2 linked regions of the Macaca fascicularis genome follow. The protein of the gene in region 2 interacts with the protein of the main gene of each other region in a pairwise test. Links are inferred from orthologs where the notes say so. Each region holds a gene or a part of one and is shown on either strand. Other genes may lie near its edges.

Evidence for each region. The genes of interacting proteins can lie anywhere in the genome.
Region 1: the proteins of SORBS3 (region 2) and TBC1D22B interact in binary tests that used the Homo sapiens proteins (3 or more experiments, as listed by UniProt). The link is inferred for Macaca fascicularis from reciprocal best matches to the Homo sapiens genes SORBS3 and TBC1D22B.

Annotation. Positions count from the first base shown.
Region 1 is NC_088378.1:134,372,201-134,375,848, reverse strand, and holds part of TBC1D22B (TBC1 domain family member 22B), read left to right. Parts: coding exon 1-165; intron 166-682; coding exon 683-753; intron 754-2,140; coding exon 2,141-2,269; intron 2,270-3,648. UniProt on the Homo sapiens protein: May act as a GTPase-activating protein for Rab family protein(s).
Region 2 is NC_088382.1:25,656,264-25,659,911, reverse strand, and holds part of SORBS3 (vinexin), read right to left. Parts: exon of another isoform or gene 3,386-3,648; intron 3,055-3,385; coding exon 2,964-3,054; intron 2,759-2,963; coding exon 2,672-2,758; intron 2,574-2,671; coding exon 2,520-2,573; intron 2,235-2,519; exon of another isoform or gene 2,018-2,234; coding exon of another isoform or gene 1,970-2,017; intron 1,777-1,969; coding exon 1,690-1,776; intron 1,220-1,689; coding exon 1,173-1,219; intron 702-1,172; coding exon 562-701; intron 376-561; coding exon 323-375; intron 214-322; coding exon 167-213; intron 1-166. UniProt on the Homo sapiens protein: Vinexin alpha isoform promotes up-regulation of actin stress fiber formation. Vinexin beta isoform plays a role in cell spreading and enhances the activation of JNK/SAPK in response to EGF stimulation by using its third SH3 domain.

The DNA.
Region 1 (3,648 bases), on a different chromosome or scaffold from region 2:
GGAACCCACTCCACAAACAGCAGTCACTCCCTCTCCGGCCCATCATCCCCCTCGTTGCCCGGATCTCGGATCAGAACGCCTCTGGGGCCCCCCCAATGACTGTCCGGGAGAAAACCCGCCTAGAAAAATTCCGTCAGCTTCTCTCCAGCCACAACACTGACTTAGGTGAGTCCCTGTGAGCCCAGGCAAGGTAGGAGCTTTTGGTGACTGGAATTCTCAGAGACCTGGAAGCTACTGCTCTTTATTCTTCCTTCTTTTACTTTTCTAGCTTCTCCTGACCTGGTGCCCATTGCAGTGACATGCAGGTATTAAGTCAGACATATGTTACTAGAGATTATGGACCAAATTAGGTGGGACTGGTTTCTGTGACCTGTAGACCCTAGTGCAACTATTCTGACTTTGATCTCCTCTATCTCATGGTGACTCTTGCTGAAATCTACACCCACTGGTCTTTCTCTTCCCCTCTAACTTTCATCTCTGAGCTGACAGGACTGCTACTGCAAGGCCATGTCCTTGGCACTTGGCTGCTCAGGGCTGTTTTGGGCTTTTCCCTGTGCTTATGGGTAGCAAGTGGTGGTGGTGGTCTTACATGAATGGAAGGAGACATCAGGCAGTGCTGGTTGCGGTTTGCTTTAGAGCATTTGTGGAGAGTTCACCTAACAAGGCTGTTTTCTGTTTACAGATGAACTGAGGAAGTGTAGCTGGCCAGGGGTTCCCAGGGAGGTTCGACCTGTAACCTGGAGACTCCTGTCGGTGAGTTCTACCTACTGTGTAGAGAAGTGTGAGCCTCACACAGCCCTTCTTGCCTGATGAGGTTAGTCTGGACACATTGGTCTTAACTCCATAGACTTCTCTAGTCCTACTGGATATGACAGAACTATGGGACTGTAGTCCTATTTCTGTGCATAAAGAAACACTTTCTTGAGAGTTTATTCACACACATGTAGAGGTACACAGACTTGTACCAATAGTCATGGTCTCACGTTATTAACAGCGAGGAAGAAGAATAGAGTGAGTGAGATAGGGTGACCCCAGCACTTGCTTTGAGCAAGCTCAAACATTCCCTGTGCTTTACTCCTGTTTCAGTTGGAGTAACCAAAAGTTGAAACCCACTTTGATCTGTAAAGAGTTGATAAATGGGCCTCCCTTGGAAGCCTTACTAGTCCTGCTTTCACCAAGTACAGAGCACTGTGCCAGCCGCTACGATAGGAACACTTGGGTTTCCTGAGCCTGTAAAATTCATTCATTCATCTAGTGAGGATTGATTGAGGGTCTGCTGTTTGCCAGGCATAGTGCCAGATGCTCTGAGCAGATACAAAAATGAATAAACCACAGTCCCTGCTCTCCAGGCACTCACTGTGGAATGCATTACATAAATGTTTTCAAGAAGAAGGGTCTGTCTCCTGACTGCTCGCCCCACCTCTACTCTTGCAACCATGTAATCATTGCCTCTGCCACTTCTAATCAGTTTGAATGCTATTCAGAGTAGATTTGGTGAGAACGGAAGGGGAACAGAAAATATAAGAATGAAAGTGGGATCTAGACCAAGGATAAGAATGAAAGTTGGCCTGGAGCTTTGGCTAGGCTGGGGGCTGCTGCCAGAAGTTCTGTCTGAGTGTTGTAGCTGTTATGTCACGGATTCCATTCAGCTGCTTCCTAAGCTGGTAATTCTGAAAGTTACACTGGAAAAGAATGTAACTGGCACCAACTTACTTGGCACACTGCTGAGATGTGCTGTAGAGGTTGCTATATCCCTGCATTTCTCAGAAGTATGGCCCTGGACACACGCAGCCCTCCAAGGCCATGACTTGGGTCCAGCTCCCTCCCACTGACCTACATTCACTCCTGTACTGTGCCAGCTCTGGGAGCTGAGGAGTGCTCACCAGTGGCTCAAGCTTCAGCACAGTACAGGGCCAAGGGAGTAAATAATCCTGGGAAAGCTGGCCTTGCTTCATCTGCTCACATGTGGATCTCATTCAATGAGAAGAGGGCAAAAAATGGGTGGCCAGAACCAAGAAGGGATTTACCCTTGGCAGTTTTCCTTCTTGATAGTTTCCAAACCACTGCATAGATTAAAATAAAAATTAAGGATTTATCCAACCATTGTCTTTCCCTATCTGACCAGCAGTCTTGTCTATAGGGCTATCTCCCAGCAAACACTGAGAGGAGAAAGTTGACCCTGCAGCGGAAGCGGGAGGAATATTTTGGCTTCATTGAACAGTATTATGACTCTCGAAATGAGGAACATCACCAGGATACCTACAGACAGGTATAGTCATCACCTGCTGCCTCTTTGCTTACCAGTCATACACTTTAGGTGTGTCTCATGGTAGTGCTCTCAGGGTACAGGCTTTCCAAGTCCTCAGGCTGTGGTATGTTGGTTAGGAGTTAAATTTATCCTCAAAACTGTTTCCCCTCTTTTCATTCAGCAGCTCTGATTTTAGCCATTTTAAATAGACAGACTTTTTTGGCACTAGTCAGTGCGGTGCTTCTCAAACTTTAATGTACATACAAATCACCTAGGATTTTGATACGATCTCACCTAGAGATTATGAGAAAATGCAGATTCTGATTTAGCGGGTCTCGGGTAAAACCTGAAGTTCTAATGTGCTTCCTTGCAATGCTGCTGCTGCTGGTCCACCAACCACGCTATGAGTAGTAAGAGTTATCGAGTATGGAGAGGAAAGACAAGCTCACTTAGCAGTGGTCCAGTCCCTCTGGACTATGACATCCGTATGTCTTCCTGGCAGCTGCAGTGCTGTTTCGGCCTCTGTGACTGTCTGTAGGAGCTGTAGCTATCAGTAGTCTTGTCAGGGAGTCTTCCGTCTGCCCATAATGGTCCTCATGGTCTGCAGAAAGGTCTGCTCCCAACATCACACATGGAGGGAGGAGAAGAGTAGGCCAGGGGTTGCAGAAAGTGAAAGGTGGGCAGCTATCTACAACAAGCCTCAAGAACTGAAGTAGCCTCTGCTGCTGCTGCTGACACATTCTTTTGCATAGCTAGACTGGGCATTGGGAAATCCCCGAATTGAAATGGACATAGTGACGTCTTAGGTAACAGAAGTAAGAACTTTCAGCTTCAGTTACTGAAGGCCAACTGCTTTTGGTCCTTCCCCACTTTTTTTTTTTTGAGATGGAGTCTTGCTTTGTGGTCCGGGCTGGAGTGCAGTGGCGTGATCTTGGCTTACTGCAGCCTCCGCCTCCTGGGTTCAAGTGATTCTCCTGCCTCTCAGCTTCCCGAGTAGCTAGGATTATAGGCATGCGCCACCAGGCCCGGCTAATATTTTGTTTATTTTTTTTGAGACGGAGTCTTGTTTTGTCACCTAGGCTGGAGTGCAGTGGTGCAATCTCGGCTCACACCAGTCTCTGTCACCCAGGTTCCACCAATTCTCCTGCCTCAGCCTCCTGGGTAGCTGGGATTACAGGCGCACACCACCATACCCAGCTAATTTTTGTAATTTTAGTAGAGACAGGGTTTTGCCATGTTGGCCAGGCTGGTCTCGAACTCCTGACCTCAGGTGATCCACCCACCTCAGCCTCCCAAAGTGCTGGGATTACAGGTGTGAGCCACCGCACCCAGCCCTAATTTGTGTATTTTTAGTGCAGATGGGGTTTCATCATGTTGGCCAGGCTGGTCTCAAACTCCTG
Region 2 (3,648 bases):
GTAAGCTGAGGCCCTCCCAAGCCTCCTTCCCCTCAGACCCTCCCCAGTACACCTTATTCCTCTCACCAATTAGGGATGCCCACTGCAGCCCAGTCCCCCTCCCCATCCCGCTCTGGGATGGCAGAGACTGCCTCGGGTGGAAGGGGAGGGGGAGGAGGGCACTTACTTGGGAGACTGCGCCTGGAAGTCAAACTTGAGCCTGGCGGCCTTCCTCTAGGCAGGGGAGAGGACAGAGTGGGCTACCTCAGTCGGGCGGGTGGCAGATCCAGGATGGTAGCCTTGGGACCACTCCAGGTCCCCCACACCCTGGTCCCCTCCTTACCTTCTTCTCTTCCCTCCTGGCTGGGCTGATCCCTCCGTCAGAGGCACTAGGGTCTGTGGAGAAGCACAACCTCAGTTTGGGGAGGCCAACCTGGCGGATGGGGTTGGAATGGGGTTGCACCCCCACCTAGGGCAGGCACTGGCAGAAGCAAGGGGCTCTGTGACCTGCCACCCCTGGGGCACCAGCATGCCTGGTGGGTGGGCATCTCCGTGAGAAACAGAGCACGGCTGGGTCCTTACCTCGGGTTGAGGAAGGGTAGACAAAGTCCCTCCGACCTAGAAAGGGGCTTCCTCCATCAGCCATTCTGCGGGGGCTCAGGGACCGGGCGGAACCCAGGTAAGGTGCATTCGGAGAGCTGAAGCTCCAGGCTGAGGCCGGGCTGCACGGGGCACAGAGACTGAGCCTCCAGCCTGGGGCTCCGCGTCCCACCTTGGTCACCCCTAGACCGCTCTGACCCCCATCGCCCCTATCCCTGCCGCCTCCTCCCAGGGCGTCTCCCGGGTCCTGGGCTCTCCACAGGATGTCCAACTTCCCGAGTCGCTGCGCCGGGAAGGGTGAGGCCCGGCAGGGCCCAGCGGGAGTGCCTGGGCCGTGGCGGGGCCGCCCCAACCGCGCCGCGTCCCCGGCGGCCGCGACCCTCGCCCTCCGCTCGGGGTTAGCTGCCCTCGGTGACGCGGGGACGGCATCCCGCAGAGAGTGGCGCTGCGGTCCCTCCCGGACACTGGGCTCTGCGGTTCCCTCCTCCCCTGACTAGGCCCCGCGATCGCCCCGTCCGCCCCGCCCGGCCGCGCCACGTTCCCTCCCGCCGGCCCGGGACAGCCCCCTTCCTCCTCCCGCGTCTCCCACTCACCCGGCCGGGGGCCGCTGCTCCGGGGCCCGCCGGGGCGCAGGCGAGCTCTGTGCGGGGAGACGGCGCAATCAGGGCCCGCGACCCCGGGACCCAGCGGCAGTCGAGGCCGCCGCCTCCGGAAAAGTTCGCGGCTCGGGAGGGGAGGAGAGCGGGCGGGACGCGGGGTCCTAGAGGCGCCCGCGCGGCCGATCCCGGAGCGGGGCGGGAACTAGGGGAAGGGGCGGGGGTCCCCGAGGCTGCGGCCCGGGGGCGGGACGGGGCGGGAGCCCGGGCGTCGGGCTGACGTGGAGTCCGCTTAGAAAGGCTCCTCGGGGTCACTTGCGAAAGTCGACGCCCTGTATTTTATTTATGGAGGAGCGAGCCCGCCAGCGCCCAGGAGGGCCCGAGGCCTGTGCGCGCCGCCGGAGGCCTGACCTCGTCTGCCCGTCCTTCGCCCAGCCCAGCCGCCAAGGCTCCCGGCCCGCCCCGACCGTGCGGTCAACGGCGTGCCCCGCGGGTGAACCCAAGGGGCTGGCACCTTGGGGGACGGCAGTCGGGTCTCAATTGCCCGTAGGTCCTTGTCCAGCTCGGCACTCAGCTTGGCCAACTCTCTCTCCAGCAGCACCTGGGGGCGGGGAGAGGCTGGGCAGTGAGGGGCAGCGCACGGTGGGGGTGGGGGCAGCGGTCAAAGGTCGGCTGTGAGAAGCCAGGCCGGCGCACTGGGCCGGCGTAAGGACAGGCCTCAGCGCACGGGCCGGGCTCCTGCCGGGAGGTGTGGCCCGGGGTGCCAAGAGGGCATCCCCGCCGCGGCCTCTCACCTGCCCTGCAAGCCCCCGGAGTGCCTTCGCGCTTCCTGATCCCGCCATTCCGCAGCTCTACCAGTTTCTGCCAAGTTATGTCACTCTTCCAGCACCAGTGGGGCTCCCCATTTCCTCTCCCATCTTCTCCCGCCCTCCAAGGCCTGGCTTCGCTGTGCCCATCCAGGTTCCCCCGCCACCCCAGGGACTGGCGCCCCCACCCTCACGCTGCTTCCTGCCAGCCTCTGCTATGGGTCTCCGCCGGATCAGGCCCTCAGAGCTTCTCAAGGGTCCAGCTCCACCTCCAAGAATACTTCCTGATAATCCCAGTGCACACTGACCACTCCCTTCTCTGCTCCTGCTTTGGCCAACACATTTATTTAACGCATGTTTACTGAGCGCCTCCTGTATGCCAGCCACTGTCCCGAGTGCTGGCGTTACAGAAATAAACCATGTGGGACTGGAGAGAGAGCTCTTAGTTGGTGGCCTATGCCCATGGTCACTGGGGCGGGGAAAACCCTAATCTCCCTGGTTTATCAGGCTGCTGTCCCCAGCACCCTGCAGCACTCACCTCAATGGGCTGGGAGGGCTTCTCACCAGGGTCGTCCACCAGCGGTTTCTTGGGCTGAAGGGTAGAAAGGGTGTGTCAGAGCAGGTGAGCTCACTTTCCAAAATGTATCAGCTGAGGGTGCGTGCACACCCCGAGAGCCAGCCAGCACTCACCCTCTGCCCAGTCTCTAGTTCCTGCAGAAACTGGTTCCACGACTCTTCTGTCCAGACATTGTCTCCTTTTTCTCGGCGTCTGGGCACCTGCGTGGAGGTGGGTGGGCGTCAGCTTGTGAAGAGGGCTACTGGGACACTGGCCAGGCTCAAAATGCAGGCTTGCAGGCCCCTGCCCTTCCCGTGGGCCCACGGTGTCCTCCAAGGAATGCCAGCTGAAAGGACATCGTGGCACAGGGGCTTGGCCATACAGCATACAGCCGGGGCTGACCAGGGAACACGCTGGGTGGGCTACCTGATTTGGGGGCTGCAGCACAGTGGAGAACGCTCCAGGTCTGTAGCTGAAGGTGCTTCTAGGTAACTCTTCAGAGTGGTCCCAGCTTCTTCTGAAGAAAGGGAAGGACATCTCTTCAGCTTCCTTTTAGGGAGACTGAGGCAGAAGCCAGCACACAGCCCTCTCGCCCTGCCCTTGTCCCTGCTGTGGGGTCTGCTCTGCCTCTGACTGCCCTGCCCTTACTCTGGAAGCAAGGCTAAACTGTGGAAGTGTGTGAGCTCCAAGCTTAAATTCTAGCTCCATTGTTTAGTGGATGTGTGACCTTTGAACAAGTTACTGATCCCTCAGAGCCTCAGGCTCAGAACCTGTAATATAGAAATGATTTGGTGACAGAACATGTGTGAGGTGCCCGGGAGAAGGCCTCACACATATATTTGCTCCAGGTGTGGCCCGACCCTCTCCTGCGGGCCATTTTGCTAAATCCTGCACGTGTGTTTGGTCTGGCCCCATGACTGTGGCTATGTGCATCTGTTCAGCTTTGAAGAAGCTGGTCTTTCTGGGTGCTGTGGCTGAGTGATCGTACACTCATGGGCAAGGAAAGCCAGAGGCAGCCCTGCCCTGCAGCTCTGGGCAAGTTATTTCTGCTCGCTGGGCCTAGTTCCATGAGGGTGCTGGATTCAGTGACTCCATCTGTGAGACTACCCCA